4 linked regions of the Pelodiscus sinensis genome follow. The protein of the gene in region 1 purifies or fractionates together with the protein of each later gene. This does not show direct contact. Links are inferred from orthologs where the notes say so. Each region holds a gene or a part of one and is shown in the gene's direction. Other genes may lie near its edges.

Region 1 (8,007 bases):
TAACTCTGATCTCACTGGAACTAGCATGCACCCAGCATCCCTTTCTCTGTTCGACATGGACTGTTGATATTGATGTAAGATGCAATACACATTCCATGCAAGCCATCTCTGTTTGTTTAGGTATCAGACGAGGATGAGATCCTACCTCATAAACTCCAGGCTGCACTTGTACAGATTTTGGAGGAACGAAATGAAATTTTATCCCAGGAGCAGGTGTACACACAAGGTGATTGTATCAAAGTGTTTGCACTATATGGAAGCCTGAGAGATTTGCTCTGGTCAACACAAAAACACATGTAGATGGTGGAAAGTGACTGGTGCCATATATTAGCAAGCTATTTCCATGTGACTCACTGAGAGAAGCTTTACTATTTGAGTGGGTTATAGAAAAAGGCAGAATGAGAAATGCAATGCCCTAATTTTGCCCGATCCACATGAGACAGAGGTTCTCTTAGCAGTATATTTGAGTTTGTGTAATCCTTTTAATCAATGCACATTTAATCAATCCTCTTCGTTAATTAGAAATTAGAATTTCTGTACTTCAGTGTAGTATGACATGTGCTGAATTGGAGTTTTATACAATAGCTTTTAAACTTGCTCATCTCAAAAGCACTTTACAAAATAATGAATCATTCCAGGAAAGTACATCTGCAGGTCTGTACTAAGCAATCATTCACATTAAGTTAAAATACCAATTTTGCAATTTCTATTTACCACCATCACACAATACTGGAATGAAGATACTACATCTATTGGATCTTTCCCTTGCCAGTGTGGTCTATTAGCTATCAATATGGGAAGATTAGTCCGCATACTGTACAATATGAAACTCTGTTGTTCAGTCTGAGCCACCCAGTCCTATTCAGCCAGGACTTTTTGGAGAAGCAAAGGCGATACTCTCCCAGAAGTATCACACTCTGACTACTGCAATGTGAAATAGACTTTTGTCCTTTCCCTGGTAGGTGATGTAACTTTGAACTCCCTGGTCTCTGAAGCTTTTGTACAGTTCTTTGTGGAGATTGTAGGACATTACTCCTTGCACATGAATGTCACAGAGAAAGGAGAGCGGGTGTTCCAGCGAGAGCCATTTCGAAAGTCACACACCTCCCGTAATGTGCGCCATTTCCTAGACCTGTTCATGGAAACACAGATGTTTGCAGGATTCATACAGGACCGGGAACTCCGTAAGAGTGGGGTCAAAGGTGAGACCTGCTATTCCAGCTGCTTCATCTTACTTTTGTGGTACAGAAGTCAACTTTGTCTACAATGTGATATATTCATTTCTAAGTGACCTCAAAAGGATCCACCTAAGGTTTTAAAATAATATTGAAGCTGGTTCAGAAGAGACCAAGGGACCCTAATCATAGTAAGAATCCAGGAACTGCTCTATGCATGCCATGGCATTTTGGCCTATATAATGCAGGACTTACTGGGGTCTGAAAGGTGCTGGTACCTTTTATCCCTTTGCATTTTCCAAAAGAAATTATCTTCACTAAACCAACTTTTCTCAAATGGAAAGCAGAAACTCCTTTAGGGTTTGATCCTGTAGCTCAGGGCTACTCAACTTTGGAAGCCCTGGGGGCCGCAATGATACTTACAGCACGTCACGAGGGCTGCAACTTAAGTGTGGTTGCATATACATCCAAATATATATGCAAATTTATGTAAATAGCTTTTCACACTGACCATGTATGTATACAAAGATGAAGGCAAGACTACACAACATGCAGGCCCCATTTAAGTCAGTTCTATTGACATGCGTTTTAGTAGTTACATTCCTGGACTGTCATTGTTCATTAAAAGTGCTGTCATATGGGTGGAAATCGGGTTGATATTGCATTTTATTAATATCAACAGAAGACTATTATATTGACTATTTTGTGTTTTGGCTCCCACCTGTGTTGAGCCCCGTGTAAACCCAAACCGCACAATGGGCCACAAACAAACAGGCTGCAGGCCACATGCAGCCCATGGATTGTATGTTGAGTAGCCCTGCTGTAGCTCTTAAGTACATTACATTAGCAAGAGTATGTGCCAGCCTCATGGGAGCTCTAATAAATTATGCTTTTTGTTATCAATGGTGTGGCTTGTTCCATTTCTTTGCATATTGCAGCTCAGGTGGCTAAACGATTTTCTTCCTTAGGCCTGTTTGAGGTCCGTGCCTTGGGGTATTTGGAGACTATTCCAGAGACAGAACCAAGCGGGATGAACAAAATTCTTCGCAGTCTGGGTAAATGTTTGGTTTTGCCGTTGGTCGGGTCAGTTGTTGAGCCTGTGTATAAAAGTGTCCACTGAACAAGGTGGAGTTTAGCCAGAAGGGGGAAGCACATTTTCTACCTTGCATAGTCATATTTACTTTTCTTGGGTGCTGTTAATACCCCAGAATATTCAAAATGAGCTGCAATTCATTTATTTACAATTCTACCCCGTGCCAGTAATGGTACTTCTCAATATGCATATTGAGAAGTCTTTGGCTAAAACAAATGGTGGTAGCGCTGTCCCTGAAGACATAAAATAGGGCTAGATGAAGATTTTGGGAACAATCTTGCATTGGCTGAGAATGAATTGAAGAGCCTTAATTAATTTCCATCACAAACTGTTTTGTTGGTCAAAATGGCTTGTCTTTGAAACAAGAGATATTATTCAATTAACTTCTTTGATTCTGGAGTCTAATTAGTGTTCTAATTAGATGTTTCCTTTTCTTGGTAGGAAGCAAAATGAAATTTCTTCACAGAAAGTGAAAACAGGTGCTGAAACACTGATGAAGAGGAGTTTTGCATACAAATGCTGCTGTCCAAATTGTCAGACCTACTCACTGAGATACAGCTCAGTCCATGGAAAGCTCAAATAGTGGGAGAAAATGGAAAAGAAGTACAATCCATCCTATACCTGCTTTCACTGGAGCATTGCAGAGGCAAACTGGAAATGGATGCAGATGAAGAACTTCATGCTGGAGATGCTTAACACATTCTCCTCATCAATGGGGAATTTAAAAGGGGAGCTTTTTCGTTGTGAAACTTCAGACTCCATATTTTTGCTGCTTGGCTTGATGAGCCATTTTTTAGGAAAACTTTTCTGTTTGGTTAAATCCAAATCAGCATTTAAGGAAGAAACTAATGTGATCCTACAATGGGTCTGTGGGCCATGCTGGATCCAAGCAACAGGCTGTGCAAATTCTGGCACTAAGAACCTGTTCAAGGAGTTGCTTCAGAAGCTGAAAAGACTGCTCTGGCTTGCCTTATGCCCTCTCTCCTTGGAGTGCACTTTCATACACATGGTATATGGTTTTGATAGCATGGAGCCATGTTCTTGGCTGATCTGAGATCAGAAATAGCTTTTCATTTAGTGTAAACAAAGTTCCAGTTTATCACAAAGCTTTACATTTTTTAAACCAAATGGAAATGTCAGCTTATTTTCTAACTTGTCCTATATTCTGATTTTACAGTGCCCAGAGCACCTCGCCCTTTATGCTGACATATGGAACAGGCTTATCCTTTACCTTATCACATACACTTACCTGCTGTAAATTTGGGCTGGGTGACTTCCACAAATTAGAACTGTAATTCTCTTGGGATAAAATGGCATCGTCACAGAGGGAGCCACATTCATTCTTTAAATTTTGGTATTAAAAGCAATTAATTTAATGTTGAATTACTGCAAATGAGAGGACAGTATCTCAAGGATGCATATTGCTGCAGGTGCTGAGCCAGATTTTCAGAAGGATATAAAAATCCTTTTTTCCTTAAGTGCCTTGGTACAGCAAGAAAGTTAAGTTGGATAAGATACCAAAACGCAGCTATTCTAGTTCTTTGCTGTTGAAAAATGTAGATTCCTCAGCATTCAGTGTTGGGGAAGAATAACGTTAGTAGGTTATGGCAATTGAGTCCTGTGATGGTTTGAAAATAGTTAATACCTGCCTGGGTTTGTATAATAGATTAATGCCAGTTATTTATTCAAATCTATTGATGTTCCTTTATTGTAGTTAGTGAATTACTTAAACAAGTCTGTTGGCCTGACAGTGCAGCTGGAGGCTGGTTTCTGATAGCACTTTCTCATAAACAGTTGTTTACGTGGCACTGATGGACTCTGACTGAATCCTGTGTAATGACAATGACTGCTGTAGTGAAATGAAAAGTCTTCTTAGTGCTCCAACCTAACGTAGCACGTACTAGTTGTATACAGTGTTGACATACAGAATTCATACATGAGTTTGAAAAGTCCCCAGTGGAGCTCAGTTCCTTGTATAGAACAACACTTGGAAGGGGCTTATATTCCCAATAGCAGTTTGTCCATGTCTACAGGGGTATGATTTTGCGTAAATACTTTTAAGAGTTTTTGTGTTCAAGTATTTGCGTAAGAGTGTTTGCAGGTGCCTGTGCCGTGGTGCACGAGGTGTCCACGCCAGTGCAGACGCTCTCTTGTGCAAGAACGCTCTGATGGCCATTTCAGCCCCTGGGCTTTCTTGTGTAAGATACTCCTGGTGCCTGTGCCCCCTGGGGCAGCCGGGCTTCTCCAGGAGCGGGCGGCGCATGGCTCCGGCGCACGAGGCCCTGATTCCTGAGCCCATGGCTGCTCTGGCCCAGGAGGTCCCGCCCGGAGCGGCCGCCCAGCCCCTGCCCCGCGCTCTGGCTGAAGGGGGCGCAGGCCCCTCAACGTCTCCCGGGAGCGGCGGGGCGCGGGACCCCGAACCCGGGGGGGGGGGGGGGGGGGGCTGACGCGGGCTTGGCGCCCCCCGCTCTGCCTCGGGCGGGACCGGCCCCGCGCGCTGGGACGAAGCGGAGCTGGCGGTTAACGGCTCCGGCTGCAGCCCCCGCCGCACGCTCAGGCCAAGCCAGGGAGGGGCGCAGGGCCCATCCCCCCGGTCTCTAAGGAGACGCCGCGCGCCAGGGCCAATGGGCGGGGAGGGGCGGGCTGAGGGGGATCCAGGTGGCGCGTGCACCCTACGCAGCCATAGCGCGCGGGTCTCTGCGCCTGCGCACAAAAGGCAAGCGGACCGGGGCGCAGGCGCGCTGAGGGCAGGGGCGTCGGGGTCACGGCGCAGGCGCAGCGGAGCGGAGCGCGCGGTCGCTCTCACTGCTGCCATGTCGGGCCCGGGGCTGGTGGCCGGCGAGGTGGCGGTGGACGCGCTGCCCTACTTCGACCAAGGCTACGAGGCGCCGGGCGTGCGGGAGGCGGTGAGTGGGGGGGGAGAGAGCGCTGGGCCGGGTCGTGTGTGTGTGTGTCGGGGGGGGCTGTCCCCGTGTGTGTGTGTGTGTGTGTCGGGGGGGGGCTGTCCCCGTGTGTGTGTGTGTGTGTGTGTCGGGGGGGGGCTGTCCCCGTGTGTGTGTGTGTGTGTCGGGGGGGGGGCTGTCCCCGTGTGTGTGTGTGTGTGTGTGTGTGTCGGGGGGGGGCTGTCCCCGTGTGTGTGTGTGTGTGTGTGTGTCGGGGGGGGCTGTCCCCGTGTGTGTGTGTGTGTGTCGGGGGGGGCTGTCCCCGTGTGTGTGTGTGTCGGGGGGGGCTGTCCCCGTGTGTGTGTGTGTGTGTCGGGGGGGGGCTGTCCCCGTGTGTGTGTGTGTGTGTGTGTGTGTGTCGGGGGGGGCTGTCCCCGTGTGTGTGTGTGTGTGTGTGTGTGTGTCGGGGGGGGCTGTCCCCGTGTGTGTGTGTGTGTGTGTGTGTCGGGGGGGGCTGTCCCCGTGTGTGTGTGTGTGTGTGTGTGTCGGGGGGGGCTGTCCCCGTGTGTGTGTGTGTGTGTGTGTGTGTCGGGGGGGGGCTGTCCCCGTGTGTGTGTGTGTGTGTGTCGGGGGGGGGCTGTCCCCGTGTGTGTGTGTGTGTGTGTGTCGGGGGGGGCTGTCCCCGTGTGTGTGTGTGTGTGTGTGTGTCGGGGGGGGGCTGTCCCCGTGTGTGTGTGTGTGTGTGTGTCGGGGGGGGCTGTCCCCGTGTGTGTGTGTGTGTGTGTGTCGGGGGGGGCTGTCCCCGTGTGTGTGTGTGTGTGTCGGGGGGGGGCTGTCCCCGTGTGTGTGTGTGTGTGTCGGGGGGGGCTGTCCCCGTGTGTGTGTGTGTGTGTGTGTCGGGGGGGGCCTGTCCCCGTGTGTGTGTGTGTGTGTGTCGGGGTGGGGGCTGTCCCCGTGTGTGTGTGTGTGTGTGTGTGTGTCGGGGGGGCTGTCCCCGTGTGTGTGTGTGTGTGTGTGTGTGTGTGTCGGGGGGGGGCTGTCCCCGTGTGTGTGTGTGTGTGTGTCGGGGGGGCTGTCCCCGTGTGTGTGTGTGTGTGTCGGGGGGGGCTGTCCCCGTGTGTGTGTGTGTGTGTGTCGGGGGGGGCTGTCCCCGTGTGTGTGTGTGTGTGTGTCGGGGGGGGCTGTCCCCGTGTGTGTGTGTGTGTGTGTCGGGGGGGGGCTGTCCCCGTGTGTGTGTGTGTGTGTGTGTGTGTGTGTGTCGGGGGGGGGCTGTCCCCGTGTGTGTGTGTGTGTGTGTGTGTGTCGGGGGGGGGCTGTCCCCGTGTGTGTGTGTGTGTCGGGGGGGGGCTGTCCCCGTGTGTGTGTGTGTGTGTGTGTGTGTGTGTGTCGGGGGGGGGCTGTCCCCGTGTGTGTGTGTGTGTGTGTGTCGGGGGGGGCTGTCCCCGTGTGTGTGTGTGTGTGTGTCGGGGGGGGGCTGTCCCCGTGTGTGTGTGTGTGTGTGTGTCGGGGGGGGGCTGTCCCCGTGTGTGTGTGTGTGTGTGTGTCGGGGGGGGGCTGTCCCCGTGTGTGTGTGTGTGTGTGTGTCGGGGGGGGCTGTCCCCGTGTGTGTGTGTGTGTGTGTGTCGGGGGGGGGCTGTCCCTGTGTGTGTGTGTGTGTCGGGGGGGGGCTGTCCCTGTGTGTGTGTGTGTGTCGGGGGGGGCTGTCCCCGTGTGTGTGTGTGTGTGTGTCGGGGGGGGCTGTCCCCGTGTGTGTGTGTGTGTGTGTCGGGGGGGGGCTGTCCCCGTGTGTGTGTGTGTCGGGGGGGAGGCTGTCCCCGTGTGTGTGTGTGTGTGTGTGTGTGTCGGGGGGGGGCTGTCCCCGTGTGTGTGTGTGTGTGTGTGTCGGGGGGGGCTGTCCCCGTGTGTGTGTGTGTGTGTGTGTCGGGGGGGGCTGTCCCCGTGTGTGTGTGTGTGTGTGTGTGTGTGTCGGGGGGGGGGCTGTCCCCGTGTGTGTGTGTGTGTGTGTCGGGGGGGGGCTGTCCCCGTGTGTGTGTGTGTGTGTGTCGGGGGGGGGGCTGTCCCCGTGTGTGTGTGTGTGTGTGTCGGGGGGGGGCTGTTCCCGTGTGTGTGTGTGTGTGTGTGTGTGTGTGTGTGTGTGTGTGTGTGTCGGGGGGGGGCTGTCCCCGTGTGTGTGTGTGTGTCGGGGGGGGGCTGTCCCCGTGTGTGTGTGTGTGTGTGTGTGTGTCGGGGGGGGGCTGTCCCCGTGTGTGTGTGTGTGTGTGTGTGTGTCGGGGGGGGGGCTGTCCCCGTGTGTGTGTGTGTGTGTGTGTGTGTCGGGGGGGGGGCTGTCCCCGTGTGTGTGTGTGTGTGTGTGTCGGGGGGGGGGCTGTCCCCGTGTGTGTGTGTGTGTGTGTGTCGGGGGGGGCTGTCCCCGTGTGTGTGTGTGTGTGTGTCGGGGGGGGCTGTCCCCGTGTGTGTGTGTGTGTGTCGGGGGGGGCTGTCCCCGTGTGTGTGTGTGTGTGTGTGTCGGGGGGGGGGCTGTCCCCGTGTGTGTGTGTGTGTGTGTGTCGGGGGGGGGGCTGTCCCCGTGTGTGTGTGTGTGTGTGTGTCGGGGGGGGGGCTGTCCCCGTGTGTGTGTGTGTGTGTGTGTCGGGGGGGGGCTGTCCCCGTGTGTGTGTGTGTGTGTGTGTGTCGGGGGGGCTGTCCCCGTGTGTGTGTGTGTGTGTGTGTGTGTCGGGGGGGGCTGTCCCCGTGTGTGTGTGTGTGTGTGTGTGTGTCGGGGGGGGGCTGTCCCCGTGTGTGTGTGTGTGTGTGTGTGTGTTGGGGGGGGCTGTCCCCGTGTGTGTGTGTGTGTGTGTGTCGGGGGGGGGGCTGTCCC
Region 2 (7,852 bases), on another chromosome or scaffold:
ATGGGGCATCCAGAAAAAGCACCTGAGACTGGGTGGGGGTTTTATCCCCTCCCCTCCTACCTCTACCTTGCTTGTTACCTCCGGGCTTTGGTATTACAACAGGCTGCGTTACATCTACCTCGAAGAGTCTTGGGGCCCCGGTCTGCAGCACCCTGCCTTTCCTGGGGGGGCCAGGACTCCTCTGCTCTCCAAGCAGCTGCTAGACTGTAGGAGGGAAATAACAGGGCGGGGGGTTAACTTCTCTCTGGGCTACTCAGTGAAGTAGGAGACTGATTCATCCAGGCTTCCTGTGCATGGGGATGAGCCTCAGGGCTGGGTTTCCTCTCTGGTTTGTTCCCACAATGAGCTCATCAGTGCAAACCAATGAGAAGGGGGTAGCTGCAGTTGGGGGGTGTCTAAGTGTCTCTATGGGCCCTGACTTCCCTTACATAGGCCAGGGCTACTCATGCAGCCTGTGAACCGCATGTGGCCTGTTTGTTTGCGGCCCGTGGTGCAGTCTGGGTTTACGTGGGGCTCTCACAGCCCGCAGGTGGGAGCCAAAACAAAAAAGTCGTCAATATAACGGTCTTCTGTTGAGATGCGTTTTAGTAGTTACATTCCTAGACTGTCATTGCTCATTCCAAGTGCTGTTGTAAGGGCGGAAATGGGGGAATGTTGCATTTTATTAATATCAGCAGAACTGACTGAAATGGGGCCTGCGTGTTGTGTAGTGTTGCCTTCATCTTTGTGTTCATGCCTGTCAGTGCGAAAGAAGCTGTCTGCATATATCTGCAACCACACGTGAGCTGCATATGCATGCACAGCACATTTCATTGGGATGTGCACCCAGAGAATTTTTTTTAAATGTACTTTGATCCCCATTAGCCACGCCCCTGACCCCTATTGGCCACACCTCCGGAGGTGACACATGACCAGAAGTAAAAGGTGTCATGTGACCCCCCCAAGGACTTTTTCCACCATCCTCCTACCAACAGGAATTAATTTGGCCCCCACCAAGCTCCCCTTATGCAACCAGCGGCGGATTTAGGGCAGGGCGAGCGGGGCGGCTGCCCTGAGCCCCGCACTTCCCGAGGCCCCGCGCATGCACCTTGGCACCACGGCGCATGCGCTGTGTCAAAGGGGGGGGCCGTGAAATTTTGCTGCCCGGGGCCCTGCGGCACTGCCCTGGGCCCCGCGGCACTGCCCTGGGCCCCACAGCACTCTCATCCACCCCTGTATGCAACTATCCTGCAATTGCATTACCCCAATGTGTGTGACATTAATTCGGGAGCAGAGAGGCTGGGGGAAGTGTCCCTCTAAAAGTTTCCTCCCATGAGCAGAATGAATTTTGTGTTGTGCACCAGTACTGAGTTCATGTGGCTTGTTTCAATGTGCCACCCAAGTTATTAATAAATATCTTATAACCCTTTACCTTTTCCCTCTGCTGCCGTGGCTCCCCTTGCTCCATCAGCTCCCCTGGTGCCTGCTGCTCCCTCTGCTGTCCTGACTCCTGCCCTTCTCACTGCCCTCAGCCTTCCTGCAACCTGCCCCCCTCCACCAGTCCTTCTCTCCCCCCTGTGCCCACTCCTCCAGTAGCCCCACTCTACTCATGTGAGCTACCTAGGGTTGCCAGATGGCTGAAAAAAAAATACTGAACCCCCCCCCCCAAAAAAAAAGACGGGGAAAAATTTTGTTGAAGGAAAAAAAAGGGGGGACACCAAAGTTGTTGAGTGGAAAAAAAAATAGACTCCAAGGACCTGGATCACTGCTAGGGGTTACCAGGTACTCATTTAAAAAAAACCCAAAAATCCGGATATGCTTCGGGGGGGGGGGGTGAGGGGGAGGAGGACTGGCTAGGAAGGGAGTGGTGCTGGCCGGGGAGGGGAGGAGATGGGGGGGCCTGGAAACAGCTAATGGTGGGGCAACAGGGCTGGCCGGAGGAGATGGGGGGGCCAACAGGAAGCAGGGCTGGTTGTGGGGAGGGGGGCCGGGTGGAACGGGGCTGGACGCAGAATATCAGGGGAGGGGGGACCGGCTGGGAGGGGGCAGGGATGGCTGCAAGTAAGGGGGGGCGGGAAGCACAGCTGGGGGGATCAGGGGCCGTGAGGGTGGCTGGGAGAAAGGGGGGCAGGAAGCAGAGCTGGCGGGGGGGCAGTGCAGCGGCCCTGGCTGGGGGAGATCAGGAAGAGGAACGGGACGGCGGGAAGCAGAGCTGGGGAGGGTGCAGGGGGGCTGGTCGGGGAAGATCAGGAGGGGAAGTGAGGGAGAAACAGCCAGCTGAGAAGGGGGGGGTGAGCAAATTGGTCGGCGGGGAGCAGGACTGACCTGGGCACTTGCTGCCTGTCCCGCGCAGGCTCCTGGCGACTCACGAGTGAGGAGGAGGCTCCCCCTCCTCCTCACACTCAACCGACTGAGGGCTCCTGGTGGCAATCGCGGCCCCGCCTCCCAGCCGCTCTCCCCCGCACACGCCAGGCTTCTGTCCGGTGCGCAGCCGGAAAAATCAGAAAATACCGCACGTTGCACGTGTCTGGTATTTTCTCATTTTTTTTACTGGACAGAGCGTGCAAATACCGGACTGTCTGGTACAATACCGGACACCTGGTAACCCTAGAGCTACCCGTCCTCATCACCTCTCCTAACACCTCCCTCTACACCTGCCCTGCCTCTCTCCTCTGGTGCTGGTCCCTCCCCTGCAGGTGTCTGCCCTTCTGCTTCACCCCAGAATCCCCTGGCACCTGCACCTTCCCTTAGCCCTGCACCCTCCTGGTGCCTCCCCTTCCCTTACTGCCCCTGCCCCCTTTGCCCCTAATACTCAACCCCTCACCACCCTCTGCCCCCATTCTCCTCATGCCCCTGTGCCCTCACACGTCTTGCTCTATCCCTGCCTCATACCCACCCCTTCTTTCATGCCTTTTCCCAGCACCTCCCCCTCCTCCCTCTAACCCCCAAAGCCCTTACCCTCTCCTCTCCCAGCATCACCCTGTCTCCTTTCCCACTAACACCTCCCCTCCTGCCCTTTTCCTCATTGTCTGCACTTGGCCCCCTGGCATTTGTCTCTCCTCTACCCTGTCCCTTGGTGCCTTCCCCTTTCTTCTCTTGACCTGCCCCCCTCCTCTCAGCACAAGCCCCTTCCTCTCTCACCTCTGCCCCCTAATTTTCCCCCTTCCCCTCCTCTCCCTTATCTTACCTTACCTTTGGCTAAGCTGGCTTCTGTCTTCCAGTTTGTGGGGCTGGAGTCAGAGCCGGCCCCAGCTACAGGCCAGCCAGGCCCTAGCCCTGGGTGCCTCACTTTAAGGGGCGCCATGCAGTGCTGCCTGGCTGGGTGGGGCCGTGTCTGGGACCCGGGGCGCAGGAGGGGTGCTGCACAGTGCTGCCGGGCTGGCCGAGGACGGGGCTGGAAGGACAGGGGTGGTCTGTAGTCCTCTGCGCACATGCTCTCTCTGCCCTAAAGTGCCCCATAGATGGCCGCAGGGAAAGTTAGGGGCTGCGGCTCCCCAGCTCAAGTCCCCCTCCTCCTTCAGCAGCTGCTAGCTGGCCCAAGACATTAGGGTGTGCCTGGGCACAGCTGGTACACCCCGTGCGCATGCCTATGGTGCTATGAGTATCATTATGGCCCACAGGGCTTCCAAAGGTGAGTAACCCTGACATAGGAAATGATGGGGTCTAAATTAGCTGCTGCTACCACTCAAAAAAAAGATCTTGGCATCCTGGTGGCCAATTCTCTGAGAGCAGGTGCTCAGGCCCAGTGACAGTCAAAGCTGAGAAGGTGATTGTGACGTAGTGGGGGTGCTGTCTGCTCTACAACCCAGTGTGGTACGGGGGGGGGGGGGGCCTTGCTGGTTGCTGGGCTTGGGCAGTGGGTGACCTCCACTGGCGGCTATTTGTAGCACGGCCCAACAGGACAGCGGATGAGTCACTAGGCAAGGGTCTCCCAACCTGTCCGACAGGTCCCCTCCCAGGGAGAGAGACAAAGGGAGGAAGGCGGAGACCTACCCCTGTCTGGGGGGCAAGGCTGGAAGAGGGTCAGTTTCTGTCTGGCATGATGGAGGAAGCAGCCTAAGCAAGGGCCTGGGAATTAGGGGCCCAGTCACCCCCATCTCAAGGGGGCTGAGGCATCCTAGGCCTGCCCTGTAACCTGATTCCATCTGTGCTGTGCTGCATCCTTGGAGAAGCGATAAACTCCCCCTGTTCTACTGGCTGGCGGAGTCTGTCCGTGCCCCTACGGGGTGCAGGAGTCGGGTGAACCTGTGCATGTGCGATGAACCCTTAAGAAAGGCACCGCCCACCCGACCCGACCCCGCAGAGCTTCTGAATGCGCCGCTGGCCCTGGCATGCCCAGGCCTTGGCTCTCGGGTGCGGCCCGGCCGTCCCGCTCAGAGCAGCAGGTCAGTGCCACGTGCGAAGGGCGGCAGGCGAGGACAAAGCAGAGCGCAGCCGCGGGAGGCCAGGCCCGACGGGCACGGGGGCTGCGGTGGGGCCCGGCCGGCCAGGCAGCAGCTGGTGCAGTAAATGGGCCGTTGGGCGGCTGCCGGGGGCGGGCAGATGGCGCCTGGGCTGAGCGGCTCCGGCTGCGCCCGCCCCTGCCCAGGGATGGCGGCAGCGGCCCGGCTCTGGTGCCTGCTGGGAGCCTCCACCAGCCCAGGGCAGGGCCCGCAGCCCACTGGCGCCATCGTTAGGGTCCAGGGGCAACAGCGGCCAGCCACGCATGGGGGCGTGGCCTGCAGGGGGCGTGGCTCCACACGAGCTGTGGGAGGGTCTCCGACCGGAAGAAAACCCGCGCGCCTGACCTAGCAAGCCCCGCCCTTTCCGCTGGCCGGACCCGCCTCCTAGCCGGTCGCGGATGCTCATAGGCTGGAGAGCCCACCTGTCACCAGCCCGAGAGCTGAATGGTCAGAGCGCCCACTGGCCCCGCCCCCTCAGCCCATCCGGGTCCTTGGAGCGCTGCAGCGACGCTCGGGGGCCGCCATTGCGGGTGGGAAGCGGGAGGCCGCGGGGCGAGGCACGAGGGGCCTGAGCGGAGACAGGTGCGGGGGGAGGGGGCGGGGTGTGGGGAGCGGGGTGTGCGGGGGGGTCGGGGTGTAGGGAGCGGGGTGTGCGGGGGGGTCGGAAGGAGGGGGCGGGGCGTGCGGGGGGGGCGGGAGGAGGGGGCGGGGGGGTCAGGGTGTAGGGAGCGGGGTGTGCGGGGGGGTCGGGAGGAGGGGGCGGGGGGGTCAGGGTGTAGGGAGCGGGGTGTGCGGGGGGGGTCGGGGTGTAGAGAGCGGGGTGTGCGGGGGGGTCGGGAGGAGGGGCGGGGGGTCGGGGTGTAGGGAGCGGGGTGTGCGAGGGGGTCGGGAGGAGGGGGCGGGGGGGTCAGGGTGTAGGGAGCGGGGTGTGCGAGGGGGTCGGGAGGAGGGGGCGGGGGGGTCAGGGTGTAGGGAGCGGGGTGTGCGGGGGGGTCGGGGTGTAGAGAGCGGGGTGTGCGGGGGGGTCGGGAGGAGGGGCGGGGGGGTCGGGGTGTAGGGAGCGGGGTGTGCGGGGGGGTCGGGAGGAGGGGCGGGGGGGTCGGGGTGTAGGGAGCGGGGTGTGCGGGGGGGCGGGGTGTAGGGAGCGGGGTGTGCGGGGGGGTCGGGAGGAGGGGGCGGGGTGTGCGGGGGGGTCGGGAGGAGGGGGCGGGGGGCGGGGTGTAGGGAGCGGGGTGTGCGGGGGGGTCGGGAGGAGGGGCGGGGGGGTCGGGGTGTAGGGAGCGGGGTGTGCGGGGGGGTCGGGAGGAGGGGGCGGGGTGTGTGGGGGTCGCTGGTGGCGGCGGGGGGCGGGAGAAGAGGGCTGTGACGTTGGGTGTGTTTCCGCTCTGTGGCGGGCATTGACTAACCTGAGCCTGCTCTTCCTTCCTCCCCTTGGTTCTTAGCCTGCCTCTCCATGGCTGGAGTGTTTCCCTACCGCGGGGGCTGTGCCCCAGTGCCCAGTCCCTTGGCTCCACTGCCCGACTACATGTCTGAAGAGAAGCTGCAGGAGAAAGGTGCAAGAGCTTATTGAAATGTGTCCCAGACAGGGTTTGTGGGTTATGCACTCCTGGAAGCGGTGACAGAGAGGTCCCAGGTCCATGCAACAGCTAGGCAAAGGCCAGGCAGGCTCTGTGCCCCACAGTGAATTCTGTGTCCTTTGGTTGTGTTATGTCAGACATCGTATTCTGCTCACTAAGCTGTTCAGTTCATTTGATTTATGGTGCATGAGCATTTGCCCTACTTTGTTTTGCTGGGTTTTTCTCACTATTCTGTTGCAACCTGTGAGACTGCCCTAAGCAGACTGCTGTCAGTTGCATGTATTTTAGCAGTAAAACTCTGTTCAGAGTAAACAACATAGCAATTATAATCACAGCTGTTAGTCTATGATTCTTGCAACTCTTTGCTCTTGCCAGTGCGATACGCCAGGCATCATTGGGAGAATCGGAGGAGAATGTGAATGCAAAGGTGGTGGTTGCACAGGAATAGAGAACTGCCTGACTGGATAACAGCAGGGGTCCTTCTGGGCCAGTGTCCTGTCTCCAGCACTACATAACTCAGAGCACGGTGCAAGAGGCCAACTGTAGGCAGGTGTGAGAGTGCCTTTTCCTGCTCCCTGGTGGGGTTAGAGATGGTATAAACTCTGATGCATAAAGATTTGTACCCTGTTCAAAATACTTTTTGCATTACTAGTAGAGCTCTGTACATTCACTATCCATGTAATTTTGGGCTCATGTTGATTTGGAGTCTCTTTTATGATGGTGCTCTGGTTGGACTGGACTGTGTGTGTTCTTGTTTGTGTAGCCCGCAAATGGCAGCAGCTGCAGGCAAAGCGGTATGCTGAGAAGAGGAAGTTTGGTTTTGTGGATGCCCAGAAGGAGGACATGCCCCCAGAACATGTGAGGAAGATTATCCGGGACCATGGTGACATGACTAACAGGAAGTTTCGTCATGACAAACGAGTTTATTTGGGGTAAGGAGAGCAATGAGCATTCTAATCCATGTCCAGGGCAAGGAGGGCTCTGGGTAGGGCATATATGGTTACAGGTATTCCATTCCTGGACGATGGAATTGTAAGCAGCACGCTGCACTACACCAATGCCACAGATATGCACTGGCCTGTAGAGATCACCGAGAGATCCAAAACCTCCCCTAGAGAGATTTCAGTTACTTTAAACTCTGTGCATAGAAGAAAATTCTATACTGTGAGCTCTTGTAAAATGCTATGGAGATGGACTGTGAGATGGACTGTGAGCAGTGGAACAGAAATAAGTAGGGTGGAATGGAGCCGAGGTTGTGCTTGAATTATCAGGTAAAGGCTATTGTGCAGAAGCATCGATCTTTTTTTTTCTTTTAAATAAAAGGCTTGAAGGAGTTCAGAAGAGATGCCTGTTGCACAGTGATTGGGTGATCCAAATGCAAGAGAAGCATTTATTTGCATTTCAAAATCAAGTTCATTGCTCATTCCTGGCCATATGCAGAGTCCCTAGAAATTCACAAGATGAATTTCTGTGGATGTGGGGGGGCGGCGGGCAGGTGGGAGGCAGAAGCAGGGTTGGGGGCGCGGGGCTGTCCCGTGGAGATCTGGGTATGTGGGCGGGCGGTGGGCGGAAGCAGGGTTGGGGGAGTGGGGCTGTCCCGCAGAGATTGGGGGGGCGGCGGGCAGGTGGGAGGCAGAAGCAGGGTTGGGGGTAGCGGGGCTGTCCGCCGGCGGCTATCGGAGAGGGCAGGCGGCGGAACCAGGACTGCATGGGAGGAGGGAGAGCTGCCCGGGGGAGATCAGGAGGAGGAGGATGGGAGAATCAGGTGCCAGAAGCAGGGCTGGACGGGGGCAGCAGGACTGGTGGGGGAGGGTCGTCGGGGGAGCGGGGCTGACCGGTGGAGATTGGTCAGTG
Region 3 (7,653 bases), on another chromosome or scaffold:
ACACCAGCAGCTCCCAGTGTAGGTACAGTGCTATGGTCTTTCTTGGGGAAGTGCCACAAGGCTTTGGCTGTTCCTGACTGCGAGGGCAGCCTCTTGGGGCCTTGGGCAGCCCCTGAAACTGCTCTAACTTCACTAGGGCCTGAAATAGTCCCCTCCCAGGAAAACCACACAGGTGGTGCGGGGTCCCCTTTCCCACCATCCCCTGGGCCTGGTGCCAAGCTCAGCATGGCTGCAATTAGGGTGGACTGATTTATATCAAGCCAATTTACATCAGTAATTTGGATCATCAAGTGGAAAGCCACGGTTTTAAATCAGTTTTAATTAACAGTTCCACTTGTAGTACAGTTATTTTCTAAAGAACAGAAGCGTGTTCTTCTTGGTTGAGCTACCCTTCGAACATGCTGATTTATAACTACATAGAGCCTCGACACTACATTTGGTACATCTGTTTGTTCCCTAGTGCGAAGGCACATGGCAGTGGCTCAGAATCAGAGGCCAGATGATCTCAACACCCATATGACTAGATCAGATTCTTGCTCCTAGTAGCACAGCCTGTGTCTCCCGCCCCCCCTTAATACATGACATGACCTGTTCTGCCACATGTAGAAAGCATGATTTCAAGTGAGAATTTTACCCCTTATTCTTTATCTAGGAAAGCCGTCATTAACACATTTTCGCGAGAGGCTCAGGGCTACAGCAACTTGATTTTTCATTTAAATGTTCTAAGAGATGACATGTGGGTCTTAATATAGTTTGAAATTCAGGATTTTAACCAGATTTTTTAAAAAAAATAAAGAAACTGATCTAAATAAATTAAAAACATCCAGTTGAAAAACCAAAAATAACCCATACAACTATATCCAGCTGATTGCAATCCAGCCCAGAGCAAACAGGCTACCTGTGGCTCCTGAATCCAAGATAACATATTTCCTAAATACTTGTATCTCACAGGGTACGGCTAAACTGTGGGAGGGGTTTCGGAAGAAGTATGCAAATAGTGCTAGCCTTTTTCCCCCCGAAAGAGGCTTTTCCGCCATTTGGCCCCATCTACATGTGGCCAAAAGTCGGAACCCTCCTCCCCCTTTTTCAAAAGCCCCCTTCTTCCTCATAAAATGAGGCTTACGGGGGCTTCCAAAAGAGGGTTTTTTTTCAGAAGAGGTGTAGACGGAGCCAAATAGCAGAAAAGCCTCTTCCAAGGAAAAAACCTGAAGAAGGTATGCAAATGCGAGTGCTATTTGTGTATCTCTTCTGAAATGCACCCCCCCCCACCAGTGTAGCCATACCCTGTGAGACACAAGTATTTAGGAAATATATGCCAAACCTTCAGCTAATCAGATGCCAGCGCATCCTGTTTCAAAGTTCCACTGGTGTCAGTGTGCCAGTCCCTCCAATGCACAAGTTGGTCCGGATGTTGATATCACACTCACTTGATAAGATCTTATGCTCTGAAGTGCTACTGAACCAGCCAGCTGGCTCCATCACCCCAGAAGGAAAGAAAAAAAGGAAGCTCCTTCTGTCTAACGTGCTTTTGCAACCCCCTTTACCATAGTATCTGAGCTCCTTGCAACCTTCAGTGTATTTATCCTCACAGCCCAAACAGGGCTGGACTGTTGTCCCCCTTTGATAACTGGGGAGCTGATACACAGAGAGGCTACAGGACTTGACAAAGGTCACCAAGTGAAAGCTGGGGCAGAGCAGGGAATTCAATCCCGATCCCTGGGCCTCAGACCAATATCCTAACTGTGGGACCATCCTTATGCTCTTATCCTTTCTGGGCACTTATCAGCCCTTAATAAAGCAAAGTCTCACCCACCCCCAACCTTGGGAAGCAGCTGTCACTCGACTGATCGGATAAGCAAGAGGTTGCAAGGAGCTGCTGCCAGAAGAGCTAGGAATAGAACTTATGTCTCTAATGGCAGAACCAAGACTCTGGCACACATATTGCCTACTGGCAGAGCAGCTGGCTGAGTTGAACTAAACTTCCCTGGTCAGAAATCCCAGGGGTTGGGAGGGGAGGGGAAGAGGGAGAAATACCAAGCTTCTAGAAATGGGTAAGCTAGGTTTGACCAATACAGGCTGCACTGGAAATGGATTATACAGGTTCAACCTCTCTAGTCTGGGACCCTTGGGAGCTGACTGGTGACCAGAGAAGGTCAATATTGTTTAGTGGCATTACCAGCACTTCCACTGCTTACTGGGCTCCTAGAAGATATTTAGGGGTAAATTAGAGCTGAACAGCACAGAACATTGAGAGCCAGAACTGGTGGCTGTAAACAAACTTTATGGGACTGCAGGAAACGTGGCCACACCCATGAGAACTGGACATCCAGCTAACTAAAATCATGCCAGACCACGGATGTTGCTGGACTAGAGAGTGCCAGACTAGAGAGGTTCAGCTTGTACTAGCCTTCTTCTCAGTGTATGCACATCATGCCGCAGGTGGCACGAGACTAGGATTCATCACTGAATTTGGTCCGCTGCTTGGGTCATTAGCTTCCCCAGCCCAGGGCAGATATAGACAGGGAGTGCAACCTGAGCAGTGATTCATACCTCCATGTGCCACTTATTTTGCCTAAAGTATGTAATAAAAAAGAGCTAAGTGGTGGCGATAGTATTATCTAATCACCTGCCATCACTAGATCTCACAACACTTCCCAGTATCATTTGCCTCATTTTACAAATGGGGAAACAGGCACGGGGGGATCCTTGCTCAAGATCACCCAGTCCAGCTGGGAAGAGAAACCTGGTCTCCTGAGTGCCAGTGGCTGCTCTACCCACTAGACTATGCTGCCTTCCTACATTCGCCTCTTATGACAGCTCTGACAATGCTCAAAGTTATTTCAATTGATCCCAGAGAGCAGTCAGTCAAGCACCCCACACAAATAAATACAGCCCCCCTTCTTTCCTGATTCAGCTAGGATTCCAGCCTTACCTCTGTCACGAGTTGAAGTGCATCCTGGCCAATCCACTCCTCCAGAGTCTCCCTCAAGCCCTGAGCCAGCTGGGACAGGAAGTCAGAATGGACGGCTGCTTTCCAGGTTTCGCCATGAGTGCTGGCCCCAGCCACATGAAGGAAAGCGATTGACATCAGGAGAGCCATGGCTAGTCGGAGCAGGGCTTGGCGGCAGCATGAGGACTTAAGATCCCGCCCAGTCATTTCTCTGGCTCTCCTCTCTGCCCCAGGAGTCTCTGCCAACGGAAAAGAGAAAGATGACTAAAGGCACAGAGCATAACGAAGTGGGTCTTTGCCCACAAAAGCTTATGCTCCCAACACTTTGGTTAGTCTATAAGGTGCCATAGGACTCCTTGCCACTTTTGCAGATTGAGACTAACACAGCTACCCCTCTGATACTTAACAAAGTTATAGAATCCCTGTGTTTCTGTTGGCCCCAGGCCAGCACCGCAATGTCAGGAATGTCAAGCAGGCAAACAACATCCCAGCGACACCAGGGTAACTGTGATCTCGCCTTTTAGTTGAGAATCAGCCACTTACCAATACCCACTTACCGGCTTCCTGACCTCTCCCCAGGCTTCCCTCCCCCCCACACTCCCCTGTAAACTGCCTAGCCTCCTGGAAAGGATGACTCATGTTTCAGCCAGTGAGTGAGCTGTGGTTATGCAGACAGACAGGGCATCAAGCCAGTCAGAGGGAGAAATTCAACACCCAAGCCCCACCCTTCTGGACCCCCAGGCACTCATAGCATGTGGAAATGAGGTCAAAGGTCAAACCTGCACCCATCTTAGGCAGTGATCACATCACACACAGCTCTGGCAGAGCGAGCTGACAGTGCTTGGGCGAGACTGAAAGAACAGCTGGGTGCTGCAAGCCTGCTGATGGGAAAGGAGAGTCTCTCTGTGCTTCAGGGGCAGCGCTGAGGCAAGCGCCAGAAATGCCATCTTTGGGAACAAGTATTAGATGAGGTAGCCGTGTGAGTCTGAATCTGCAGAAGCGGCGAGGAGTCCTGTGGCACCTTATAGACTCACCGAAGCGTTGGAGCATAAGCTTTCGTGGGCAAAGACCCACTTCGTCCCATGCACGCATGCCACAGGACTCCTCGCCATCTTTGGGAAGAGTCACGGAAACTCGGCCCTGGGCTTGCTCCCGGCCTGCTGCCAAGGGCCCGCAGAGCAGCGTGCTGCAAAGCCCAGGGGCCAGCGGCGAGGGCAGCCCAGAAGCCAAGCTCCCCTGGCAGCACAGCGGCTGCCCCCTCCTGCCACCCCAGAACCAGGCGCCTTGGCCGTGGCTGCCACGGCGCAGCCCACAAAGCCTCTGGGAAGCTGCTGTGGGGCGCAGGGGGGATGCTCCAGGCTGGGCACCTCACCCTGGCTGCCAGGCCCCAGCACCGCAGCTCACCCTGGGGGTGGGGGTGGGGGCAGCTCTGCCCAGCTGCTGGCCAGAACGCTGGGCGCGCAATTCAAATCTAGCACCTGGCGCGGGGGCCGCTGGGAATTGTAGTCATAGAGGTGTGTGAGTGTGTCCCCGCGCAGAGCATTGTGGGAGTTTCAGCCCTGGGCGGCACCCAGTGCATTCTAGGAACGAAGCGCGGCATGCCGGGAGTGGCAGTTCCAACCACCTCGCCCCCTCCGGAAATGCCCGAGCGGCAGCCGGAAGTTGCCGAGCTGCGCCTGCCCGGAGCATGCGGAGAAGAGTTCCGTTTCCGGCGGGGGCGGGGCTGTGGAGTCTGCCGCGCTTCTCTGGGGCCCCGCGTGAGCGAGTGGACGCGGCGCGAGGCCGGTCTCGGTCGGGACGCAAACTCTCTCTCTCCCCCCCGCCCCCCTTCTCCTTCCCGGAAACGGGGCCCGTGACCCGGAAGCAGAACCGGGACCCTTAAGGAGACGCCGCCATGTCCCTGATCTGCTCGAGTGAGTGACGGGCCGGGGGCCGCGGGGGGAGGGGCCGGGCTTGAGTCGCCCCCCGGTGACCGATCCTCCCCGCGGGCCCGGTGTCTCTGCAGCGGACCCAGGAGGAGACTGCAGACCCCCCCCCCCCCCCGCTGGGTGTCCCCTGGGGGCCCCGATCCCGGTTCGTGCCGAGCCCCTCGGCGCCCGAGTCTGCACCTGAGTCCGCCCCTGCAAGGCCGCGGCTGCCCGGCCCGTGTCCCGGGAGGCGCAGCGCCTGGGCTGGGCAGGCTGAAGCACAGACAAGCCCCCCCCCCTCCTCCCGGCTCACCGGGCTGGTGGGCCGGGGCCAGGCCGGGGGTGTCACAGCCAGGCGGCGATGGCCGGCCTCACCCGATACCCATTTTGCAGCGGGGTGAATTGGAAGTGGTCTTTCGTGCGGGGCGGGGGGGGGGGGGAGTCAAGTGCAGCTTGAACCTGCACCTTTTAGGCTTGTAGTTGGGCACCTGAGCCGCTCTGCCACGGTGCTGAGAACTAAATAAAGGTGCACGAGGGAGGGACTTAAGATATCTGGATGAAAATCTGCATGTACGGTTTTCAGTGCTGCTGATCCTACCAGTTCCCGTGGAAACGAGCTCAGAGAGCTTTCCATGGTAGCTCCTTCCCCTTAGGCACATAAACCGTGACAGTTACACTTCTGAGTGTGTCTCACATTTTTTGCCCTGTACAAATGTAGGTACTGCTGGTCTGTGCACATCTGACAGCTTGTGATGTATAAAGCAAGTCAAGCTTTTGCAGCTTATGCTAGAGATTACATATAACAGCACAGATGAAGAGCCATGGAATTCATAGTTAGGTTAGATTCATCATTAACTGCCTGATCTGCCCGGAGGGAGACCTAGCTACTTGTTGAAAGGCATGTGTGTGTCATTCAGGGACTAACTACGTTATTAGAAAACAGACCTTGGACAGAAAGATGGTGCACAGAAGCTTGAATCAATAAAGATAAATGAGGATGATGACAATAGCTTACATATAAACAGGGAAGGCATGGTAACAGTGCTATACATGTAGAGGCTGTAGGAAAGATTGGTCTGTGTCCGTTACCTTTGTCTTGGAGCTTCTCTGTCTTCTGGTAAGCAAGGGGTTTGTGTAAGGACCTAGGTTCTTTTGTTTGTCCACTTGTCACCACTGCAATCTTTTTATTTTTTGCAGTCTCAAATGAGGTGCCAGAGCACCCTTGTGTATCGCCAGTCTCAAACCATGTCTATGAGCGAAGATTGATTGAAAAGTACATTGCAGAAAATGGGACTGACCCAGTGAACAACCAGCCACTGTCTGAAGAGCAGCTGATAGATATCAAAGGTATCAAGCGGTGGGGAGAAGATTTAGAGGTGTGACATGGTCGAGTCTCACCAGCTGTAGGAAGTTGGGTGGATCATCACTACCATCACTTGGCCTTCTGACTAAGCCTTAGCTTCCACTGCTCACCAAGCAATTGCCTGGTGGGCCAGGAAGATATGATCATTACAGAAAGGCTACGTCTAGTTTTCTGTTAAAAGCATTTGCGGAAAAGAGCGTCTAGATTGGCACGGACGCTTTTCCGCAAAAGTGTTGGGGAAGAAAAGACACCAAGAGAATGTAGGAATCCTTATAAAAGGGGCAAATCAGTATTGAGTTTAATCATCTACATCCAAAATCTTTAGCATGTCCCTAGTGTCCTCTTACCTCTCAGGCAAAGTCTAAAAATTCCTGGGGAAGTAGGCCAACTTGGTGCCTCAAACTCTTCATATTTTCATCCGTCAAAGACTTTGGCTCTCCTCTGGCCCCTTTCTGCCTTCAGCCCTTTTGAATGCTGCCTTTTCCTCTTCTCTCTTGTTGGAATGATCTGGGTTTGGCTGGTATAGGCCCAGATTCCTCCCACTCCCAGCAGCCTCTGAGAGGACTTGTTAAATAGAGTCAGCTGCTTGGGGATTTCTGTTCTCCTCTGGGCAATTCACGCTGTCACAAGAGATGTATCTTGGGGATTTGGGGGCTCTGCTGAACCTTGTCGTTGGCAGGCTACTGCATTGGCTGAGCCACTAGCCTGATTGGCATGGTAGGATCCAGGATGCTCACGTCAGAGATACATTAACATCCTCATTGTCTAATGGGTCTCTTCCACAAGTGGCTCACGTAGGCTTAAAGCAGAGGATCAAGTAAGGGTGCACATGGATCTGGATAAAGGGATGGGTGAATGGATGTGTTTGAGGGTGGAGAAGAAGTAGAGAGGCAAGAGACAGGAAAGGAGATTAATCCTCACTGCTGAGGCTAACAGGTCCACGTGCCCCATTCACAGTTGCCCACCCGATCCGGCCCAAACCACCTTCGGCCACCAGCATCCCGGCCATTCTGAAAGCCCTTCAGGATGAGTGGGTAAGTGCCCTCGTGGGGAGAGATGGGGTGGGTGTTGGGGCAATGGAGAGAACAGGTTCTCTTCTGATTGGCTGGGGAGGTGGGCTGCCTTTTTTGCTCGCAGAGGTTGGGTGGGAGGAGTCCCCCACTCTACTTACCCAGGTAGGCAGAGCTTGCTGAGCTGGGGTGGACAGAGCATTGAGTTCTGGTGGGCTCCCTCACCGTGCGGCTCCTCCCCCAGGATGCCGTCATGCTGCACAGCTTCACACTCCGCCAGCAGCTGCAGACCACCCGCCAGGAGCTGTCGCACGCTCTGTACCAGCACGACGCTGCCTGCCGCGTCATCGCCCGTCTCACCAAAGAGGTCACTGCTGCCAGAGAAGGTAAGTCGGGGAGATGGCACTGATTGAGGACAAGGCT
Region 4 (7,197 bases), on another chromosome or scaffold:
CCTGCCCATAGTGTCAAAAGCAGCTAATACTTTCAGGCTTCTGTTTGCCACCAACATAACCCAGCTGCCTCCTGCCCCCTGCCTACAGTGCAGGCAGGAAGGGGTTAAGACCTAAGACTGCTTTGAGCGCTAGGGCTCAGGAACCTGGCAGCAGAGGCTTCAGCAAAACCAGCCAGAGAGGTGGCTTTGCAAAGGAGGGCACCTAGGGAATGAAGCAGGACCCAGAAGTGGGTGAGGGCTGGGCAGCATGTAAATAGAACCTTCTGGCACCTGCCTGCATTCATCAACTACTGCAGCCAATGCCAGCTAGATGGGGGATGCGGCTCTGCTGATTGAGAACCAGCATGCAGCAAGAGCTGCACTGACAGACAAGCTGGGAGAGCAAGCTACCCCCCGCCCTCCAGCTTTGCAAACCCACCTCTATTGTTGGCCATTGGACCCCTTCCCACTGCTTTTGCGTAAGTAGCTGGCAAGCAGGGATCCAGCCAGCCCATACAGCTGGACCCACCGTAACTGATGGGAAGGAGACACGAAATACAGAACAATTTGCCCATTTTTAAGAAAAGGTCAAGACAACTGTAGGAGGGCATAAATACAGGACAGACCTTTAAAAAATGGGACATCTGGTCACTCTTTTTACTGATGGGGAAACTGAGTCAAAGAGTGATTACATGGCCTACCACTGATAACATGGGAAAGCAAGTATATCTTAAATCTGGGTGGTTTCCAAATGGCTAAAACACTTTGGCTAATTTGTAATCATGTGAACTTGCAAGTTGCAGAAATATCTTATGCTCAAAAAGAACAGTTTCTTCATTAGAGGGATAGCAAATAATTTTTACACAGGTGGATACCTCAGCCACCAATGATGCCAGTGTCCATTGTGCTATTTTTTTAACACTATGAGGTTTATCATACCCTGATGAAATTTCAGGAACAATCTGGGATAGGCCAGCCTCAATCACCCACATTTTTAATTTGTCCAAGATGAAGCCCTACTCTTCCCCAAACTACTCATCATGACTCACTACTACCCAGAACCTTGGTTTCATGTTTCAGTGGAAAGACACCACCAGAGTTCTACCTATTGTCAGACACATATGTTGTTTGAATCATGTTTGAGAAAAGAACATCCTCTTCTTCACCAAAACTTTCTTCTGCACAAGTTGGGTCTTCCTTTACTTCTTCAGTAAACACGGTAACATGTGAAAGTGTAGTCTGAGGAGAGGAGACATGGTTGCGGCAGGGGCAGTTTACACAGTTTTAAATACACCACACTCATATTAATTATTTGGCAATTATATGGCAGCACCTAGGGACCACATTAGGAACAAGATACAAGTGTGCTAGGTATTGTACATGCAGAATAAGAGTCGCCCTGCTCTAAAGAGTTTACACTGTAAATAAGCAAGACAAAGAATAATATCTAATCTTAGTAAACAATGAGATGTCAGCAATAAGGTTTTTCTTAATAGTGGGATGGAGTTATGTTGTTGAAAGCAGATTGGCTAAAAAAGGTAAAAAATTGACATTTAAGGAGGAGAAGAAATAATGGGAGCTGAGAATGAAGATGGAGTAAATGAGCAGGAATAGGGAAGCAGAAGCCAATAGACTGCCATTACAGAGGCAAGTACTGCAGTGTAAATGCTGTAAAAACCAGCAAGAAGTTGCTGACATCTACAGGTTGCTGCTGCAGCTGTTTTCCTTTGCTCTTCCTGGTTGAGTTTCTAGCTGGCTCCTGCCAGCACTTCCTTTTGTCGTAACTCACATGGTTGAGAAGTATGGGACTGCATAGGCTCTGGTGCACCAGACAGGAGGTCTCCCCTACACAGTGTTGGGTCTGGAGATGCTAGAAAAGGGAAGAAGAGCAACCTTAACTGGATTACAGTTCCTGTTTCTCTTAGTGGTACTACTGTACTTGCGTCAGCTGTTTGTTTTTCCTCTATTACTGCTGCGTAGTTGTGAAAAAATGTATAGGTGCAGCCTTCTTAGAGCTTAACCAGTGTAATACATATAGCTGTGTGTTGTGATGAAAGGACCAAGTTAGGAAAAGGTCCAAATGCTTAAAATGTAAAAATTCAAACACCTTAAATCTGGCTTCAGGTGAGCATGGATGTCACTATATCAACCAAACTTTACCATGTACCTGTATTGTAAAATTAGAGGCACAATAATACTTTGTTAAATCTATAATTACATTTAATGCAAGTTTAATTAATGCACATGAAAGAAAAATATTTCCTTTATTTTTCCAGTTTAATTGGTGTATTTGACAGCAGTTGGGTACAGATAGTCTGTTTCCTCTGTGTGGATCTTTCATACAGCAACGAGGGAGAAGAAAACATTTTTAAAGCAGTAAAAATGTGTAAAAGTCATTCTTGTCCCAAATTGACTTAAGATTGTGGTATGACCCCTGCTTTTTGTATTGGCTGTTGAATGAGCCACTGATAGTGAAGACTGCCGCAGGGTCTGGAAGAAGATCCATATTTTGAATTAATAGAGTATCATCTTCTCCCAGATGCCCTCTGAAACCTCTACAGAATGCTCCAGTTCAGATTTCTGATGTGGCTCTCTTCTATGGACATCTCAGAGGGGTCGTTGTGTTGGTCTGTAACTTTAAAAATGAGTAGTCCTGTGGCACCTTATCGATTAACAAAAATATATATAGTATCATGAGTTTTCGTAGGCAAAACTCACTCATCTGAAGAAGTGGGTTTTGTCAACTAAAGCTCGCAATACTATATATATATTTGTCAGTCTGTAAGGTGCCACAGGACTACTCATTGTCTCTATGGAAGTGCTTGTCTAAGGCTCCCTTTGTAAGGAAAAGGTGGCTTCCTTGACTACCAGCTCTGCAAACGCAATGTGGAATGGGAAACCAGCCTAGGGCAATCTCAGCAATGCACACATGCATCCCACTTCAACCCAAGGGACACTTTCTTTACAGACAGGCACTTCACTTCCACACACTGCCATACCAAAGCATAGTTCTGCCTCCACAGACAGCTCCCCACCCCAAAGCACTGCCTCACCTTCAGACAGCTCCTCACCACCCTATCCTGAGAGACGCCCACCTGCACAAACAGCTCCTAGCCCCAGGAGACACCCACCTCCACAGAGAGATGAACAGCTCCCTTCCCCCAGCCCAAGAGGTACCCACCATCACAGACAACTTCCCCCCCCCAAGAGCCACTGAACCGCAGACAGATCCGGAGATCTCACCTGCACAGGCTCCCCTCCTGAAGAGACACAATATACACAGATGATAGACAGACAGCTTTCCACCCACCCTCCCAAGAGATACCCCCCTTGCACAGACAGACAGACAGCTTCCACCCCCTCATCCTAAGGGACATCCCCCCCTTGCACAGATGGACAGAAAGCTTACCACTCCCTCATCCTAGGGGACCCCCCTGTTGCACAGATGGACAGCTTCCCACCCCCTCATCCGAAGGGCCCCCCGTCCGTTGCACAGACGGACAGACAGCTTCCCAGCCCCTCATCCTAGGGGACCCCCCCATTGCACAGATGGACAGCTTCCCACCCCCTCATCCTAAGAGACACCCCCTCGTTGCACAGAAGGACAGACAGCTTCCCACCCCCTCATCCTAAGAGACACCCCCTCGTTGCACAGACGGACAGACAGCTTCCCACCCTCATCCTAAGGGATCCGCCGCCCCTTGCACAGACGGACAGACAGCTTCCCACCCCCTCATCCTAAGGGACACCCCCCCTTGCACAGACGGACAGACAGCTTCCCACCCCCTCATCCTAAGGGACCCCCCCTTGCACAGACGGACTGCTCCCCCACCGCAGTCCCAAAAGACCACCCCTGCAAAGTCAGACAGAAGGACAACTCCCCAACCCTCCCCCCGTCCCAAGAAACACTCCCCTGGACAGCCTCACTTTGCTTTATAAACCCACACACTCCCCCTCCTGCGCCCACCGTCCCACGAGGCTCCCACGTGCGGGATCAGCCCCAGCCCCACTCCCTCCTACCCGCCTCCGCCGCGTCCCTTTTCCAGCCCCTAGTGTCGGCAGCTTGCACCAGCCGGCGGGGTTCTGTGCCCGCAGCACCTCCAGGCACCAGGTGGCGCTGTGACAATTCTCCCCCGGCCTGTGCCAGCTATTCCGTCTCCCCCTCCCTCGTCCTTCACAGGAGCTGCGCACGCGCAGCGTTTGTCATCCGCCCACTAGCGGGCGCCGCGTGCCCTCTCAACGCGCCTGCGTGCAGCTTCGAGCCACGAGCTAACGGCCCGTCGGCTCGGAGTTTTGACACATTCCCTCCGCCCTCGCCCCCACGGCGCCTGCGCAGGATCTCAACCGGCCGTAGCGCGAAGAGGGGTGTCTCTACCGCGCCTCCGCCGACTCTTTTCTTCTGGAGCCCGCTCGCCTCCGCCGCCAAGATGCCGCGGATTATGATCAAAGGGGGCGTGTGGCGAAACACCGAGGTAGGGGCCGCTTCCCGCCGCGGGCCTAGCCGCTGAGACGCCGCTCCGCAGCGAGAAGGGGCAGTGGCGCGCATGCGCTGAAATGGGGTGGATGGGGGTTGTGCGCATGCGCGGAGCGTGTTGTCGGCATAGTCTGAACTACTTTTATGCGCCTGGGGTTCTCTACCGCCCCTCCCCCCCTAGCTCAGCATTCGCGGGCCCCAGGGGGCGGGGCTCGGATCCTCATGGGCCCTGTGTGCGGGGAGCTGCCCCCTCTGCAGCGTGGGGCCCCTAGTGTGTGGCATGGGCAGGGGCTCTGATCCTCATGGGCCCTGTGTGCGGGGAGCTGCCCCCTCTGCAGCATGGGGCCCCTAGTGTGTGGCATGGGCAGGGGCTCTGATCCTCATGGGCCCTGTGTGCGGGGAGCTGCCCCCTCTGCAGCGTGGGGCCCCTAGTGTGTGGCATGGGCAGGGGCTCTGATCCTCATGGGCCCTGTGTGCGGGGAGCTGCTCCCTCTGCAGCGTGGGGCCCCTAGTGTGTGGCATGGGCAGGGGCTCTGATCCTCATGGGCCCTGTGTGCGGGGAGCTGCCCCCTCTGCAGCATGGGGCCCCTAGTGTGTGGCATGGGCAGGGGCTCTGATCCTCATGGGCCCTGTGTGCGGGGAGCTGCCCCCTCTGCAGCATGGGGCCCCTAGTGTGTGGCATGGGCAGGGGCTCTGATCCTCATGGGCCCTGTGTGCGGGGAGCTGCCCCCTCTGCAGCGTGGGGCCCCTAGTGTGTGGCATGGGCAGGGGCTCTGATCCTCATGGGCCCTGTGTGCGGGGAGCTGTCCCCTCTCTAGTCTGGGGCTCTCAGTATTTAGAGTATTTAGTATTCTGTGTGTGGAGAGCTGTTCTCACTGCAGTCTAGGGTCCCTAGTATGTAGCATGGGCAGAGAACCCAAATCCACATCAGCCTTTTGTGTGTTGGGAGCTGTCCCATATGTAGTCTGCCCTCCCTCCCCCATAGCATCAACAAGGAGCACAGATCTGTACAGGCCCTGTGTACAGGAGCTGGTTCTGCTGTAGGCTGAGGTTCACAGTGTGCAGCATAACCAGGGGTCTTAGATCCATATGAGTGCCTGTGTGCTGGTAGTGGTCCCTGTGTGCATGAATGGGCAGGGACCTGTTGGAACTGGTTCTTCTGCAGCCTGGTGTCTCCAGTGTGCAGCATAAGTAGGTGGCTCGTATCCCCACGGGTCGTGCGCGCTGGGAGTTGTTCTCGCTTGCAGGCTGCTGTTCACTGCAACGTGGACAGTTGGCCAGAGCCACATGGGTCCCTGTGTGCTGAAAAGTGTTCCTGTCTGCAGTCTGCTTTACCTGCTTCCTATGAGGGAGGGTGAGGCTAAGTATAGCTTGCACTCCTATGGTAAGAAGCATTTCTGACAAAGCAAATATTTGATCCTTTACATAACTAAAGTTTGATCATATCCTGACCTAACAAGCACAAACAATTCCCTCTATTAGGCAAGACTTGTATTCTCCTATCTTCTCAGACATCCAAAGATACTCTCTCCTCTTCATCTTTATCTTCTCAGGGGATGGTGACCTAAAGACCCATCACCTCTGAGGGCTGCTATCATCTGTGGTGACTGGTTCACAGTAAACATGTGTAGCTAAATGATGGTCATGGGAAAATTGCCAGTGATTATTTTTACATCATAGCAATGTTACTTGTGATGCTAACTTATAGCAAATGGTGTCTTATCATACTCCCCTCTCTCACTATATTATTATGCAGAGAAGACTTTTTAATTTTTTAGAAAGAGCTAAACATTCCCTTGACATATCTCAGTCCAAATTTCAGAGCTTCAAGTTAGTCACAATGCAGTCTGAAGTAGGGATGTTAAATGTCAGTTAGTTGAATAGTCGAGTAACTTATGAATTCTCATCGATTACTCGACTATTCTATAGTCCCCAGGGGCAGGGCCAGCAGCCAGTGTAATCCAGCCCCACTCCTGAGGATCACCCTGCCACTCCATGTTGCTGCCTCTGATACAGAGGCAGCAGTGCTCAGGGCCAGGCAGAAGCTGGTCTGCGAAGGGAGCCAGTTTAAAAACCACCTCCCCTCATGGACTGACTGCCTGTCACGCTATGATGCTGCTTCTTATACAGGAGTGGCAGCAGCTCCTGTCTTGGGTGAAGGGTAGGTCTGAGCTCCTGCCTGCTTACTTCCTAATACACTTTAAATGCAGAGCCACAGCGGGGATAGGTCCCAGACTCGGTGCAAGCCAGGACTGAGACAGGCTACTGGCCAGCCTCCTAAAAATTGTACTAGGTAGCAGTGGGAAATGCATGTAGTCTATAGCATTAACCTATAAACTTTTGCTTATTGCTTAATTGGTTAATTGACTACACTGTTACTGAAGATTTACGTACACTAGGTATGTAAGCCTTGTGCTATGTGTTCTGTGGTATAAGGCTTATACTGCAGAGCCCTCAGCACAGTCAGCAAGTCAACTCCCAGTGCCTGCTGGCTCCCAGCTGTTGGCCTTCTCCCGGGGAGCCGGCTGCTGCTCCAAGCTGTGGGCTCTGAAGTATCAGAGCCTGCAGCACAAGGCAGCAGCAGGCTCCCTAGGAGTGGGGCCAGCAGCTAAGAGCTGGGGCCATTGGGTGTGTAAACCACTCCCAGTGAGCACTGCCTCTTACTCCAGCTGCTAGCCCCATTCCCGGGGAGCCAGCTGTGCTGTGGGCTCTGCAGTATAAGGCTTATAAGCTTATGCTGCAGA

What was found.
Region 2: the proteins of BCAS2 (region 1) and PRPF8 purify together in Homo sapiens (affinity purification with mass spectrometry; 3 studies listed by BioGRID and IntAct, with this or other methods). This does not show direct contact. The link is inferred for Pelodiscus sinensis from reciprocal best matches to the Homo sapiens genes BCAS2 and PRPF8.
Region 3: the proteins of BCAS2 (region 1) and PRPF19 purify together in Homo sapiens (co-immunoprecipitation; 10 studies listed by BioGRID and IntAct, counting the BioPlex papers as one, with this or other methods). This does not show direct contact. The link is inferred for Pelodiscus sinensis from reciprocal best matches to the Homo sapiens genes BCAS2 and PRPF19.
Region 4: the proteins of BCAS2 (region 1) and CDC5L purify together in Homo sapiens (co-immunoprecipitation; 8 studies listed by BioGRID and IntAct, with this or other methods). This does not show direct contact. The link is inferred for Pelodiscus sinensis from reciprocal best matches to the Homo sapiens genes BCAS2 and CDC5L.

What each region holds. Positions count from the first base shown.
Region 1 is NC_134737.1:737,773-745,779, forward strand, and holds the start of BCAS2 (pre-mRNA-splicing factor SPF27), read left to right. Parts: upstream 1-5,002; 5' UTR 5,003-5,081; coding exon 5,082-5,174; intron 5,175-8,007. Other genes in the region: DENND2C (DENN domain-containing protein 2C), read left to right, coding at 121-226, 963-1,202, 2,144-2,230, 2,710-2,741. UniProt on the Homo sapiens protein: Required for pre-mRNA splicing as component of the activated spliceosome. Component of the PRP19-CDC5L complex that forms an integral part of the spliceosome and is required for activating pre-mRNA splicing.
Region 2 is NC_134731.1:1,006,088-1,013,939, forward strand, and holds the start of PRPF8 (pre-mRNA-processing-splicing factor 8), read left to right. Parts: upstream 1-4,850; 5' UTR 4,851-5,003; intron 5,004-5,863; 5' UTR 5,864-5,874; coding exon 5,875-5,974; intron 5,975-6,761; coding exon 6,762-6,930; intron 6,931-7,852. UniProt on the Homo sapiens protein: Plays a role in pre-mRNA splicing as core component of precatalytic, catalytic and postcatalytic spliceosomal complexes, both of the predominant U2-type spliceosome and the minor U12-type spliceosome.
Region 3 is NC_134714.1:125,215,413-125,223,065, reverse strand, and holds the start of PRPF19 (pre-mRNA-processing factor 19), read left to right. Parts: upstream 1-4,643; 5' UTR 4,644-4,844; coding exon 4,845-4,863; intron 4,864-6,054; coding exon 6,055-6,204; intron 6,205-7,177; coding exon 7,178-7,254; intron 7,255-7,474; coding exon 7,475-7,616; intron 7,617-7,653. Other genes in the region: voltage-gated monoatomic cation channel TMEM109, read right to left, coding at 2,933-3,189, 3,508-3,589. UniProt on the Homo sapiens protein: Ubiquitin-protein ligase which is a core component of several complexes mainly involved pre-mRNA splicing and DNA repair. Required for pre-mRNA splicing as component of the spliceosome.
Region 4 is NC_134713.1:10,746,228-10,753,424, forward strand, and holds the start of CDC5L (cell division cycle 5-like protein), read left to right. Parts: upstream 1-4,189; 5' UTR 4,190-4,406; coding exon 4,407-4,451; intron 4,452-7,197.